Caenorhabditis elegans: one gene and its partner. The protein of the gene in region 2 interacts with the protein of the main gene of each other region in a pairwise test. Each region holds a gene or a part of one and is shown on either strand. Other genes may lie near its edges.

Region 1 (7,349 bases), 4.5 Mb from region 2:
TCTTTTCTAAATTTACACCTTGAGACTCCATGGAACGTTCCTTTGCACAAATTGCAGAAAGAATAATTGCAATAGGAGCATTCAACAAGGTTGCGTTGGCTGAAAAAATGTTTTTGTGAACTTATCATACGCTCAAAAAAATCAAGTCTTTGAGAGTCATTGTGAGCAGAATTATGGGCACCCAAAGATTTTATACGAGAAATCCAGCGGGCTCAACAAATTTCAACACTCAAATTTCAAACCGACAATCACAGAGCTCCAGACACAAAGTTCAAGAAAAATTCACGAGTTCTGATAGTCTAATAGCAACACAACACATTTTTCTAAATTTTACCTGTCAGTTAGATAAGCCACCATTTGGCAATTTTCATTTGGACATTCCATTGAATCATCCATTTCTCGAATTGCTTTTTCTAGCATATGAGCTTCATACCTTTAAAAATTAATCAAATACTTGTCAATCTCCTAGGAATCTTACTTTGCAAACAGCTCCTCTCCTAGAGCCTCTTGCACCATACCCTGTTGGGCTTCATTTTCACATCCTTCTGCTAGACATGACATTGGTTTCGACTGAAAAATCCAATAAAAATATATCAGCTAAGAAAATTCAAACTAACCACAAACCCCTTGGCAATAGAAATATAATAGTTGAAAGTGCAGGATTTGCAGAAAACATGAGAACATGGCTGGAACTTTATGCAGTGCTGTCCCATTTGGGATTCGAAGCATACCTGGAAATTTTGATGAAAAATTAGAAAAAAAATACAAACGTTACTTGGCAATCGTAGAGGGTATTAACAAACTGTTCTTCAACAGCTTCCTCTTCTTTCTGTAGTATTTTCATTTTCAGAGATTCGATAGTCTCTCCTTGTCTGTTCAGTGCACATGCCTCGTTCAAATTTATAATTTTCGGAGTGTTCTGGGCCATCTGAAATTTGATAGTTGAAAAAGACGCCAGCTGCTTGAATCAAAGAACGTAGCAGTCGACATTCCGCAGAATTAAAAAAGTTAAATTCTGCATGAGATATCTAGATTTAAATTCGCTCAAAGGCATACCCGTGAGATGTCGGTCTTCTAATCAACATCCTACTTCTAATGAATATGTAATTTCTACTATCTGTGTAGACCGTTACATCTCAGAACGCTTTGCAGACGACATATCGCGGGTAGCCCATCTATGTCATTCAATAACGAACCAGCAAAATGTCGGCTGCAGTTAAATTTAGCAGAGGACACCTTACGTGTCTGAGATGTCGGCTCATAATGGTGCTTTTTATTTGATTCTCGCTACTCACCAAATCAATTATTGTCTGGTAGCACATAAAAAGCACCTCCATCATCTGGTTTTCCTCGCAAATCTTTGCCAACTCGGTTTCACAAGATGTCATTTGTTCCTGATTCATCCAATAACTTTCCAGTTCAAGTTTTGGTGATGATACGGTGGGATAATCATTTGGAAGATGGAATTTTAGTCGAATTGGAGGAAGAATGTCAAGAGGAAGATGAAATTGATCGCCGGAGTCAGATGTTCCTTCAATTGTGACTGTTGGATCGTATAAGTTGTCAAATCCGACCTGAAATTGCACTTGACTATTCTAAAACTCATTTAAAAAAACCAACTAACCAACTTTCAACCGTAACTTAGTGACTCTTCTAAAAAATACTTTACTCCATATATGGCCATATTAGTTTATCTCGTACAGGAAAATAGTCAACCGTGGCCAAAATTTCGGGCTAATGATTATGGAGGCTATTGAAATTTTCTATACTTTGTTACCTTAAATATTTTTGATAACTTACATAATTACGTAGAAAGTGTAGCTAAAATATAGTAAGGGTAGTTTCAGATAAATAATTTTTTGTTGTTATTTAGTGGACATTAAATTACTTTTTTAAAAGTTAAAATACCCCAGCTTCTCTCAAAAAACCAAAATCTTTACCTCAATAATTCCCTGGATTTCAGCATTCTTATCACTCCAATCACTGGATTTCGCCAGTTTCTTCTCTCTTAGAACACTTTCCAATGCTTCCAATTCATATATTTGCAGGTCACGATCAGTCATTTTTTATCGATTTTTAGACAAGAGACGCAGAGATTCAATAGACGGAGTTTAGGTAATTTAGAAATGAATGTTCAGGAATTTATAGAAAATATTTTACATTATTAGTCAAAAATGTTCAAACAATATATGAGGAAAGTTTGCGGAACAAAAATCAAAATTAATTACTAAAATATTGCGAAATATTGCAAAATTGTAATGAGTAAAATTGCGCAATGTGATAGATAACCTGTTGTGGAAACGATGAGAAATACAATTTGAAACTTTAAATTTAGAGTATTATCAGTGAGAAATTGTTCAACTTAAATTGTGTTTTTCTCTACGTGATGTGTACTTTAATTGCGTTTCAATTGTTTGTATTTAAACAATCGAAGAGTTCAAATTTGCAGCAATGCTTGAAATTGCCCCCAAAAGTTCAATTTTTCAATTTGCCAAACCTTTCACTAAAATTTTTGAAAAATGTATCTATCCATGTACCTTATTCTTCAGGAATTGATAAAATCTATCGATTCATAAAAAACTAAAGCTATTCCAACAGAATAGAAAAACACAATGTTCAAAAATGAAAGAATATTAAAATCATGTGAAAAGGGAAAACTTCCAGAAAGTCGACTCTTCTCGTTTACTGCGTTTTGTGAATATCTGAAAACTTTGTACGGATTTGTTACCATTTCTTCAATAGGCCGTGTATCATTCTGTCAATTTTTGGTGGATAGGTAAAATGTAACAGCCAATTTGATTTCTGAAAAGTTTTCGAAACATTTTTAAATATATTTAAAACATTTATTTAGGTCATACAAGTCCCGATATTCGAATATGAAACTACATCCAATCACTGAAGTGCACCATTGTCCAGCCTTTCCATTTGTTCTGCAAATTAAAATTTATCTACAAATCTATTCTGGTGATTGCGGCTGGATAAAATTTTAGTCCAACTCCCTGATTACCTCGTATTTTATCTTGAAAATAGTCGTTTTTTTGGACAAAAGGGGCGTGTTGGGGTAATATCTGACATTAATCTGAATGACTCCATACTCGTAGCGAACTCGTTCAATTATTCCGGTCGGATAAGATTCAAAAGATTTGATGATTCCCTGTGCCGCTTCAATCATGCCACTGACAGCTGAAAATAACTAAATTTCAAAATTGTTTCTGATATCGTACTTACGAAGCATATCATCCGGAGCAAAAAGATCCACTACTGCAACTGGGTCCCCTGATTTGATAGCTGCCTGGAACTTTTCGAAGAACTCCTTCGGTACGTTGGCATATTCTTCGGGGACTGGATCCAATGAAAAGACAATAGAAGCACTTGAAAGAGCTAGAAGAAAAATTGGAAGACGCATATTTTGGTTTGGCTACATGGCGAACTGAGCATTTTTATAGTTCGAAATGCTAATTCAATTAGAATGTGAAAATTGTCAATCAATGCGGAGGTTGATGTTTGGTGTCGTATTGATGATCATGATCATTTTGGGCATTTTGAAGACACCACATGGGTTCTGCCGCGTACGGTATCCGGTCTCGTCATGATAAATTTTAGCTGAATGAAAAAGCGTGTGCAGTGTGTGGCAGAGGAGTTGCGTCATTCCACGTTTAAAAGTGTGCCCAACATCAGATATACCTTTAATCCTCCAACCCGTCGGAATCAAGTAGCTCACACACACACACACACATACATAATCTGAGAGCACGTGTAGTTTTTGTTACATGCTCAATTCTAAAACAGAGGGCGCGAGAGAGAAAGAGGCCATCTCTAGGACAACGTACTAATGATAGAGAGACGGCATCCGCTTCTGTGTGATTATGTAGCTCTTTTTCTCTCGTACCTGCCTCTTCTTCAACTTGTGATATTATCCCACGTATTCATACTCTCTTCTTCACTTTTTGTTTGAAGCTTCTGGTTGCCTTAGGCCTCGTGGGATAATATGCAACGTTTTGTGCGCTTTAAGAATATATTCACTGTAGCTTTTTCAAATAAGATCCAGCTTAGGTTCAGTTAACGCGGCTCCGGAAGCTTCGTCACGAATTGGATTACTTTGACTTTCCAGATTAGAGCTTAAGCTTTCAGAAACATGCGAAGACGTAGCAACAGACAATATGTTGATCTCTCATATTTTCGCGAAACTGCCGATGCGCTATTATTCGACGTTGAAACCAATTCACGCGAATTCACCAATGAAATCAACACTGTGAAGGAGGAGAAAGCCAAGTGGGATGAGGTAAGCTTTCACACAAAGTTTAACTCGCCTGCCTACCTGGGACCTAGGCCTGATTTATGCCTACTTCAAAAGTGGGCGTGGCATGTGTCGAAATAACTTTTTTTCAGAGAACACCGCAAGGGTATACGGCAAAGCCAATTAGTTTTGAGGGCGCAGACATATGGTGTTCTTGGATATGTACAGTACCTGGACCGAGAGGAAGCCCCTGGGAGGGAGGGGAATATGAGGTTTAATTACTTTTTAGTTCGCAAAAGTATATTATCTCCAGGTTTCCGTGAACTTTCACAAATGGCCTATAATTCCGCCAATTTGTGAATTCAAAACGCCGCTTCATCATCCGAACGTGGACCTCAGAGGTTGGTTAGAACTGTTTCGAAAAAATATGTTTGAGTGTGAAATACAGAAAACGGTAGCAAAAAGAAACGCATTATTACAAAAATCTTTACAGGATCAATTTATCTTAAAATGCTGGAACAAGAGCACTGGTCTTCTGAAACTTCACTCAAGAAACTTCTGAGGGAAATCAGCAATCTACTTGCAACGCCCGATCTTACTCAAGCTGCAAATATTGAAGCCTGGATGGAATATGAGAATCAGCGGTTAGATATATTTTAACGGCGCACAGCTGCAAATGTGAACAAACTCGGCCACCTATTCTTCTAGGCCACTTCGATTTGGAGCTAAGCGTCGTTGAACAGAGAAAAGAGAACACTTAACTTTTAAAATTATCTTGTTCCAGTGAAAATTACGAGGCTAAAGCTCGAGCTTATGCTTGGACAGTTAACCCGAACGCCGTGGGATACATGGAAGTATCCGAGAATTCCGGAATTCAGAGGGAGACAGCAAAGGCTAAGTTGGCAGTGCAAAATGGTGCCATGGAATCGGACGAGGATGATGACGATCTACCAATTGACATCGAAAACTAATATTACACAAATTTTTATATTTTTGGTATTGGCCAACGTTTTCTGTTGAAGACCTTTTCCACTTTCTCAAAACTTTCTTGCCGACACTCTATGGAATTTTTCAGATTTTTCTCCAAAAAGGTGCCAATTTTCTATACACATTTATTTAAATCCCAATGCCCCTTTTTTGCAGCAAACTTACCTGACCTATGTGATAATTTTTCCCATTTTCCCTACTTTCCCGATCACACCAATTTTTCATTCTCTTTCCAAAACCATGTCTTTTTACGAAAAAAGTGATTATTGTACCAAATAAAGCTATTCCAAACTCGTTGAGTCGGGGTGTCCTCCCATTATCTCTTAATGAAATGGCAGAACAAGAATAAATCTACGTAGTCAACATTTGTAGGCAGGGAGGTATGCTTGACTAAGCTCCAGTCTACTAAGGATTTAAAAAACTCGGCCACCGATTTCTTGTTCTCGGCCACGTTGCAATGAACCGCAATGCCCTTCAAAAAGAGGTGATACTCGTGATTGCACGTCATTACCTCATCCCCAATGTCTATATTTACTTCTCCCGCACACCTTGTCAGATATCTGCACTGTTCATGGTGTGCTCATCGCCTCGCGGAGAGAGCTCTAACCCAAAAGTTTTAAACGTAAAAAGCCGGAAACGGTATAGGTTTATCGGTTCACCGAGAGCGCGCCTAGATCGTGTGGTACCGCCCCTCCTCGCCTCCCGTCAAAGGTCTCTATTTACTCCCAAACAGTGTGCTCTCGGAGCCTCCCGATCCCCCTCGCTGACCATTGTCCACTCCACTCGACCGTGCACAGTTGACTCCTTTTTTTGTACTAGTCGGTTGTTGGAAATGAAACGTATTCTTTTGATTTCTCTATTTTCGGCGGTTGTCAACGGCTTTTACTACAAGAGAACTTTATACGGAGATGCTAATGAGGGAGCTGCCATGCCAGACTATGTTAATGCTTATTATGTGAGTTTTCTTGGCTTGTAGGATTTTTAAGTGGCAGTTTCGGCAGAGATTTCACATCTAAAATATAGTTTTTGAGTTGTTTTGCAACAAGTCAGCCAAAAAATCGGTGGCCGAGTTTTTTGCTTTCCGCGGCCACGTAGCGAAAATCCCAAGGTTAATTATTACAAGGTCACAACCATTTCGGTATGTTGTGTAGATTTTTCTAATTGAAACTAGATCAGAACACAAACGCCTGCTTGCTTGCCTTCATTCACCTACGCTTGTATCAAGATTGTGCACATTGAAAGTAGGCGTGTAGACAGGCACGTAGGTACCAAGGACTGAAGATTTCATGAAAACAACACCAAACACCAGAGTCCAGCAAGAAAAAAAACCAAAAAATAATAGGCAAGCTTTCATGAAAACGAGTCTGCCTACCAAGCCTTATTGAAAATTCTGAACATTCATTTTCCAGGGTTTTCCAACAATCCCAACACAAGAGCCACGTCGGCGACCATCTTTCAACATGAATCCACCACAAGGATATTTTCATCGGGAGCATCCATTTGACTTTGGGCCATTTGGTTATATGAGAGCAAGGTAAGTTCCGGAATAGGTGGCCAAGTTTTATCTCCTCGCGGCCACTTAGTAAAAAACTGACCGTAGCGCCAGATTACAACGATAATCTATTCAAAACTCACTTTAGACGGTACCTTAGCAACAAATAATCTTGATTTTCCTTCAGAATTGGAGAAGCCAACTTCGGTGAGCCCATGGAGAAAACTGACCGCGAGCGAGCTATGGAACGGGCCAAACCGGGATTTTGGCGTCAAAACCAACGCGAAACCATGGATCGGATCAAGAAAATTATTGGAGAGCAGAGAATGAATATGGAGCAGAAGCAAATGCATATTCGAAGAGTTCTAGCAAATGAGAGTGATGAGATAAGGGTAAGAAGATAAATAATTTTTTCTCAACAAACACAAACATTTTTCAGTCCAAATTCGCTGATATTCACAAAAGACTGATCATGAAAAACAACAAGATGACCGTCTCCTCTCCAGTTCCAGAGCTTAGCAAACAGGCGAAGAAGCTTGAGAAAGAGGCCAAGAAAATTATGGAAAACAAGAAAATGAGTGTAGAGAAGAAGCAGGAGAAACTTGACAAACTTATGCTTAAGGCTCCAGAGAA
Region 2 (8,627 bases):
TGACGGAGGAAAAAGGGGCGAAAATGGCATAAAATCCATGAAAATCGGCGGAAATCGGTGAAAAATTGAGAAAATTCGAGGAAGTTGTGAAAAAATCGGCAAAAAATTGCTCCAAATTGAGCAGAAATTCGGGGAAAGCCAGGAAATCGAGGATATTATCGGAAAACGAGCCATTTCCTGGAAATTTTCAGAAAAGACGGGAGGAAAATGCGAAAATTCGAAGAAAAGGGGCGAAATTGAGTGAAAATAGCGAAAAAATGACTGAAAATCGGAGAAATTCACCGGAAAATGTGGGTAAAAAGAGCAAAAGTTTATCAGAAATGGTGGAGATTGTCGGAAAAGCGGCGGAAAATCGAGAAAATTGTCAAAAATTCAATAGAATCCAGAAAATCGTGGTGGAAAATTGCTCCAAATTGAGCACAATTTCGGGAAAAGCCTGAAGGGTGGAGGAATTATCGGAAAAATATAGGAAATTGGCGGAAAATTGGTCAAAAATTGGTGCGAAAACGACAAAATTGTAGAAAAAAGTCTCTCAAATCAATGAAAATTGGCAGAAAATTGTTCCAACTTGAGCTGGAAACTGGGGGAAAAGCCAAGGAAATACAGGAAATTTGAGCAAAAATTGAGCAAAAACTGCCGAATTGCAGAGAAATGTCACAAATCCAAGAAAATCGGCGAAAATCCATGAAAAACGATGAAAAATGCTCCAAACTGACCGAAAAAATCCGAGGAACTGGCGAAAAACTTGAAAAATACCAAAATTAGAGTGAAAAATTGGCTGAAATCCTGGAAAAAACTCGAAAATATCACTAAAAAAACAAAAAAATGTGTAAAATAATCATAAAAGAGGTTAAAAATCGCGTTTTCCGTCGAAAATTAGCATTTTTCGGGGGTAAAATCGATATTTTTAACCAAAAAAGGCTACGAAACGGGTGCACCATGACACCAATTATCGATTTTTTAAAACGCGCGTTTTAATTGGGCGAAAATTGAATTTTAAACTCAAATTTTCAGGTTTTTGACCGAAAAATCGGATTTTTCCGCAATTTTTATAGTTTTTTTCCCGAAAAATCAAATTTTTGAACAGAATTTCAGATTTTTAGCAGGAAAAATTAGGAAAATCACATTTTTCTATGAGATTTACTCTTTTTTCGCTGAAAAATTAGGTTTTTTTCAGAGAAAATCGCATTTTTTGGTTGAAAAATTGAGTTTTAAGCTCAAAAATTGAGGTTTTTGACTGAAAAATCGAATTTTTCTGCAATTTTTACAGTTTTCATTAGAAATGTTAGCATTTTTCGCAAAAATTTGATTTTTAATTGGATTTTTTTTTTATTTTTTCTCCAATTTGTTGGGTTTAAAGTGGATTTTTCTCCGGAAAAATCAGGAAATTTACATTTTTCTCTGAGATTTACTCATTTATAGTTGAAAAATTAGGTTTTTTTCAGGGAAAATCACATTTTTACAGGGAAAAATTGAGTTTTAAGCTCAAAAATTGAGGTTTTTGACTGAAAAATCGAATTTTTCTGCATTTTTTTCGCTTTTTTTAACTGAAAAATTGACTTTTTTGGCTGAAAATCGAAGATTTTTACTGAAATTCAGCGATTTTTCCATATTTTTAGCTGAAATTTCCAGATTTTCAGCCTTTTTTCAGCTCTTTTCCAGCCATCTACCTCGAGCAAATCGTTGGGCCCGCAATTGAGAAGAATAAGCGTCGTTTAGACCGTTGTGACAGGCTTCTCGTCATTTTTTGAGCCGGAATTTCCTCCGAAATTGGTGGTGTTGGCGCTTTTTGGAGCTGAAAATAGTGAAAAATCCGGGTTTTTAGGGGGTAAAAATTGGGAAAATCGGGGGTTTTTAAGCTTTAAAAAAAGTGGAAAACCACGATTTTTCAACTGAAAATGGTGAAAAAACCCGACTTTTGGGGTCAAAAACACCTAATTTTCATGATTTTTTCACTCAAAAACCCTGAAAATTCGCATTTTCCTGCAAAAACTCAACCTTTTCCTCACAAATGAACAAATCGTCGTAGCTGCTCTCGATATTCTCCTGGTTTTTCAATTTTCGGACCATCTGAAACGAAAATTCGTTGAATGTTTTGGTATTTTTCTGCGAAAAAATGCAAAAATTTGAGATTTTAGCTAGAAAATTGGGTTTTTGAGCTAAAAATTGCAAAAATTTTGGATTTTTAACTGAAAAATCGGGATTTTGAGATTAAAACTGGGTTTTCAAGGTAAAAATTGCAAAAAATTGATATTTTTGCAAGAAAATCGCAATTTTTTTTGACTAAAATTAAGTTTTTCGGCGAAAAAATGCAAAAATTTGGGATTTTTAGCTGGAAAATCGGGATTTTGAGATTAAAATTGAGTTTTTCTGCGAAAAATGCGAAAAATAGCTTCAAAATCAAAATTTTCAGGGCTTCCAACAGATTTTTACCCTGAAAATGGAGAATTTTAACCCAAAAATTCATAATTTTTTAGGTTTTCCTATGAAAAAGTTTATTTTTAGGTCAAAATTCCGGTTTTTCAGTGTAAAAACCAACGAAAATCAAGAAATTTTAGATGTAAAAGTCAACATTTTTCTGAATTTTCGGCAAGATTTTCAAGGAAAAATCGGATTTTTGACCGAAAATGCATAATTTATAAGTTGAAAAATGTATTTTTGTGGTTTTTTTGGCTGAAAAATATCAAGTTTTCCACGGGAAAATGTGATTTTTAAGTCAAAATCTCGGCCTTTAAGGCTAAAAACTTTCGAAAATTGAATTTTAAGCCAAAACTATGCTTTTTATGGCTGAAAATGCAATTTTTAGTCACAAAATTCAAAATTTTGAGGAAAAAATCGGGTTTTTAAGCGTATTTTTGTAGTTTTTGCCGTGAAAAATCGTTTTTTCGGACTAAAATTAGAGTTTTTTGGCTGACAAATGCGATTTTAAGGTAAAAATCCACGGTTTTCCGGGGTAAAAACTGTCGAAAAATCCGAATTTCGCATCAAAATCCGTCGTACATTATCAAGTGTAATGCTGGGAATCATCGCTGCAAATGGTCCAACGTCGAGTTTACAGATTACACAGGCTCTCGTATCACGTGTATGTCGTTCGATGCACGGCTCACAGTACGAGTGCCCACATGTTACCATTACGGGCTGAAAATTTGGAAAAATTGGCTGAAAATTGTAAAAATTAGGGTAGAAATGGGGTTTTTCGGCTGAAAATCGAAAAAATCGGCGGAAAACTGGGATTTTTGACATAAAAATTGGAAAAATCCGGGAAAATTGATGGTTTTTGGGCTAAAAATCGGAAAACTCCGCTGAAAAACTGGGGTTTCTTGAGCTAAAAATCTGGGAAAATGGGTGATTTTTGAGATGAAAAACGTAAAAAAACGGGAGAAAACTGTGTAGTTTTTGGGCTAAAAATTGTAAAAATCCTGAGAAACCGAGATTTTTGGGTTAAAAATCGGGAAAATCCTGGGAAAAATCGGTGATTTTTGAGCTAAAAATTGTGTAAAAATCGGCAGAAATCGGTGTGATTTTTGGGTTAAAATTGTAAAAATCCGGAAAAATTTGGATTTTTCGGCTGAAAATTGAAAAAAATCTTAAAATATTGAAGTTTTTTGAGCAAAAAATTGGAAAAATCTGGAAAAATGGGAGGTTTTTGAGCTGAAAATCGAAAAAAATCGGTTATTTTTGAGCTAAAATCAGAAAAATCCGAAAAAAATCGGTTATTTTTGAGCTAAAATCAGAAAAATCCGAAAAAATTGGGGTTTTTTGGGCTAAAAATTGTAAAAGTCCGGAAAAATTGTGGGTTTCGAGCTAAAAATCGTTAAAATATGGGAAAAACTGGAGTTTTTTGGCTAAAAACCGAAAAAATCCGGCAAAATTGGGGTTTTTAGGGCTAAAAATCGGAAAAATCCAAAATTTTAAGCTAAAATCTGTAAAAATCCGAGAAAAACTGGGGTTTCTGAGCTGAAAATCGAAAAAAATCTGAAAAATTGTGGTTTTTAAGCTAAAAACTGTAAAAATCCGAGAAAAACTGGGGTTTTTGTGCTGAAAATCTTAAAAATCCAAAGTTTTTAGTCTAAAAATCGTAAAAATCGGCAAAAAACTGTAAAAATCCGAGAAAATCTGTGATTATTATGCTAAAAATCGGAAAAAATGCGGTTTTCTAGCTAAAAATCCCCAAAAAATCGTGATTTTTGGCTGAAAATCTGGAAAAATGGGCAAAAACAAGACAATTTTCGGAATTTCAAGTTTTTATGAGAAAATTTCGCATTTTTCCCCGATTTTTCACATTTATAGCTGGAAAAAGACGAAAATTGCACATTTTTGGGTCAAAAATGGGTAAAATTAAGCGATTTTTAATGGAAAATCCGCCATTTTTCACGCAATTTTTCTTGAAATCCTCGGTATTTCCATGTTCTAACCCTGTCGAAAAGCTGATCACACAGTGGACAGAGGAGTTCCGAGCTCAAATCGCGTCGAACCGGCTGTTGAACGTCGTTGATGCACTGAAAATTGTGTTTTTAGGCGGTTTCCAGGGCGAAAAACACGATTTTCTGCTTATTTTCCAGCAAAAAATGCGTTTTTTCGATTTTTTTCGCCGCTAAAAATCCGATTTTACCGCTGTAGAAGTAGTTGCGTTGGACTCCAGCAGACGTGGCGATGAGTTGGCAATCGATAAATCGCTCTGCGAAGCCCGTATTTGAGCGGATGAAGTGTCTAAATCCGTCATTTTTGGGCTGAAAATGAGGATTTTGAGCCTGAAAAATCATTGAAAAACGCTGAAAAATAAGTATAAAATGCATGAAAAGTACAGAAAACTGGGAAAAACAACGGGGTTAAGGAATACAGAACTTTATATGTACAGAAATAATGAAAATTGTTAGAAAATTTCCTCGGCGACCTTCTTCAGCTCATCCTGAAACTCTTTTTGAAGAGAAAACGCGAATTCCTTGACTTTATACTGCTCCTGGAGGTCTTCGAGTTCTAGGAAATGGGAAAATTATTGTGAAAATTCACTAAATTTCTCACGTTTTTCCACCAATTTTCGCTTCTCGAGCGTCTCCTCCAGCTTCCGATCGGCCTCGTCCATTTCCTTGTTAATTATCTGCAGTTTGGAGGCGCAAACTTCTTGGAGATCCGAAAAATCTTGGGTTTTCGGCAGTTTTTCGACTTTTACCGCGAGAACTTCGTTGATCATGTCGTCGATTGATTTTTGCATTTTTTTTGATTGCTGAAAACTGATAAAAATTTGGAAAAATTATAAAAAACAAAAAAAATAAAAATAAAAAACACGAAAAACGTTTAAAAATTAAAAAAACAAAAAAACAAATTTCAAACAAATCCATTTTCGCGCCATCGGGTCTCACCACGACAGGCACTTGGCATCGTGCCAAGTGCAAGTGCGCTCCATCGCTCTCTTTTCCGAAAGAGCGTCTCGTGCAACGACATCTGACATTTTCGAAGGGAAATTTATTGATTTTTCGGCAAATTTTTGGGTTTTAAGGTGAAAAATCTATTTAAAAGTGTTAAAAAATTAACTTAAAATGGGGAAAATACCCTGAAAAATCGAGTTTTTTATCTTTTATCCTTAAAAACGTAAATTTCCCAACAAAAAAAAAATTATCCTGCATTTTCCCTTCGTTTTTACGAATTCCAGATGTCCGACGACAGTTCAAGCCCCCTCACAACTCTCAAAATCCTGATTATCGGCGAAAGTGGCGTAGGGAAGTCGAGGTGAGGGGTTTTCTCGCCCAAAAAAAATTTAAAAAAATCAATTTAAATTCAAAAATTTTCAGCTTAATGCTACGATTCGTGGACGATGTCTTCGATCCTGAGCAGGCTGCAACGATAGGTTCGTGGAAATTCCAGGGATTTTTGGATTTTTTGATTTTTAGGCCAAAAAAACCCTAAATTTATTGTTTTTTAGGCGTGGATTTCCGCGTAACTTCAATGGCAATCGACGGAAATCGTGTAAAACTCGCAATTTGGGACACCGCCGGCCAGGAGAGGTTCCGTACCCTCACGCCGAGCTATTATCGTGGAGCACAGGGCGTAATTTGCGTGTATGACGTCACTAGCCGCAGCTCCTTCGAGAAATTGAATCATTGGATGCAAGAAGTCGATACTTATTGCACAAATGACAATATTATCAAGATGATGGTCGCGAACAAGATTGATATGGTGCGAAAAAGCCGATTTTGTTCGATTTTTGGCCTAAAAAATAATTTTCAGCCAAATCGAGTGGTAACCCGCGAGGAAGGCCTAAAATTCGCAAAACGCCACCGCACACTATTCATTGAAGCTTCTGCGAAGACTAAGGAGGGTGTACAGTGCACATTTGAGGAGCTTATCGAGAAAATCATTCAAACGCCCGACTTATGGGACAATGACCGCCCGTCTTTTCGGTTGGGACAACCGACGGGCTCCAGTGGTGGCGGCGGAATGTGTGGATGCTAGGAAATTCTCGCGGAAAATTCGTTCATTTTGACATAAAATCGATATTTTTACTGTAAAATTCATCAATTTTCACCTAAAATCCTGTTTTTTTCATGTAAATTGTCAAAATTTGACCTAAAATCCTGTTTTTTCCATGTAAAAACGTGAATTTCGGTTTAAAATCGCCAATTTTCCCTCAAAATCGCCGTTTTTTCCATATAAAAATGTCCAACTTTGGCTTAAAATCGCTGGTTTTTCATGCAAAGTTTATCGATTTTAACCTAAATTAGGCCTTTTTCCATGTAAAAATGCAAATTTTCCCCTAAAATCGCCAATTTCCCAGCAAAATCGCTGTTTTCGATGCAAAATTCATCAATTTTCACCTAAAATAGCCCGTTTTTTTTCATGTAAATTGCCAAATTTTGACCTAAAATAACCATTTTTTCATGTAAAATCGCCGATTTTGGCTTAAAATCGCAAATTTTCCCCCATAATGGCCGTTTTTCATGGAAAATCGCCGATTTTGGCTTAAAATCGCCAATTTCCCATCAAAATCGCTGTTTTCGATGCAAAATTTATCGATTTTCACCTAAAATAGCTATTTTTCCCTGTAAAAATGTCAATTTTGACTTGAAATTGCCAATTTTCACCTGAAATCCCCGTTTTTCATTCAAAATTTATCGATTTTCACCTAAAATAGCTATTTTCCATGAGGAAATGTCGATTTTGGCTTAAAATTGCCACTTTTTCATGTAAAAATGTCAATTTTTCTCAAAAATCGCCGTTTTTCGTGCAAAATTTATCGATTTTCATCTAAAAAAGCTATTTTCCATACAAAAATACCAATTTTGGCTTAAAATTGCCACACTTTTTCATGTAAAAATGCCATTTTTTCCATGTAAAAACGACAATTTTCCCCCAAAATCGCTGTTTTCCATGTAAAATTACCAATTTCGGCTCAAAATTTCCAATTTTCATGTAACATTTATCGATTTTCACCTAAATTAGCCATTTTTCCGAGCAAAAATGCAAATTTTGGCCTAAAATCGCCAATTTTCCCCCAAAATTGTCGTTTTTCCGTGTAAAATTCATCGATTTTCACTTAAAATAGCTATTTTCCACGCAAAATTTATCGATTTTTACCTAAATTAGGCCCTTTTTTCATGTAAAATGTCAATTTTGACCTAAAATCGCTGGTTTTTCATGCACAATTCATCGATTTTCACCTAAAAAAAAAGTTCTTTTCCATGTAAAAATGCCAATTTTGTCTTAAAATTGTCAATTTTTCCCCAAAATTGCTGTTTTTAATGTGCAAAATTCATCGATTTTTCCGCGAAAAATCCCCGTTTTCCATGCAAAATTTATCGATTTTTACCTAAATTAGGTCGATTTTCCCCCAAAATTCCCCCATTTTTCATGTAAAATTCGTCCATTTTCCCCGCTAAATTGTACAAAAAACCACCCGAAAATCCCCCAATTTCACATAATTCTTGTCAAATTTCACACATTTTCAGTGCCTTTAAGCCCCGTTTTTTTGCTATAAAATTGCAACATTTTTCCTGTAATTTATTGGATTTTTGTGTTATTTTTTCTCTCGTTTTCAGCGATTTTCAGCATATCTTCATCGATTTTTTGCAGATTTTCAGCTATTTTTTTATCGATTTTTTTGGGAGATTTTTGTCATTTTTCACCTAATTTTATTGATTTTCAGCCTAATTTTGTGTGTGCTTTTACCCATTTTTCTATTATTTCCATCATTTTCCCCGAAATTTTATAGATTCTACCTATTTTTCAGCAAAATCTCATTTTTCAGCGATTTTTCATCATTTAAGCTATTTTTTATCGATTTTCACCGAATTTTCAGCTATTTTATCAGAAAAATCTCAGTTTTTTCCGGCAAATTCACTCAAATTTCGCCTATTTTAGCGAGGAGCTCTTTTTTCCAGCATTTTCACCGAATTTTCTTTTTTTTTCGTAAAAAAATCACCAAATTTCCTCATTTCCAACCTATTTTCTCCATTTTTTCGCGGTTTTTCCCGAATTTTAAACAATTTTTCGCCAAAAAACCCCAAATTTCTTCATTTCCAACCTTTTTATTCCATATTTTCGCCATTTTCTCGGGATTTTCAGCTATTTTTTCCAGAAAAACTCCTATTTTTTCGGCAAATTCACTCAAATACCGTTTATTTTCTCACAAT

What was found.
Region 1: the proteins of par-2 (region 2) and uev-2 interact in a two-hybrid assay, tested with the Caenorhabditis elegans proteins (one study listed by BioGRID).

The regions. Positions count from the first base shown.
Region 1 is NC_003281.10:5,579,006-5,586,354, forward strand, and holds uev-2 (UBC core domain-containing protein), read left to right. Parts: upstream 1-4,119; 5' UTR 4,120-4,135; coding exon 4,136-4,282; intron 4,283-4,389; coding exon 4,390-4,509; intron 4,510-4,550; coding exon 4,551-4,638; intron 4,639-4,730; coding exon 4,731-4,881; intron 4,882-5,021; coding exon 5,022-5,208; 3' UTR 5,209-5,517; downstream 5,518-7,349. Other genes in the region: F56D2.5 (RBR-type E3 ubiquitin transferase), read right to left, coding at 1-99, 335-433, 479-570, 618-731, 776-928, 1,296-1,574, 1,941-2,063; F56D2.8 (DUF4440 domain-containing protein), read right to left, coding at 2,883-2,930, 3,008-3,183, 3,229-3,406; F56D2.3 (DUF148 domain-containing protein), read left to right, coding at 6,057-6,179, 6,634-6,758, 6,904-7,108, 7,156-7,349.
Region 2 is NC_003281.10:1,077,505-1,086,131, reverse strand, and holds the start of par-2 (RING-type domain-containing protein), read right to left. Parts: upstream 4,738-8,627; 5' UTR 4,724-4,737; coding exon 4,613-4,723; intron 4,500-4,612; coding exon 4,416-4,499; intron 3,139-4,415; coding exon 3,001-3,138; intron 2,071-3,000; coding exon 1,999-2,070; intron 1,796-1,998; coding exon 1,671-1,795; intron 1-1,670. Other genes in the region: kbp-4 (KNL (kinetochore null) Binding Protein), read right to left, coding at 4,874-4,977, 5,023-5,212; Ras-related protein Rab-18, read left to right, coding at 5,651-5,727, 5,790-5,845, 5,921-6,174, 6,226-6,450.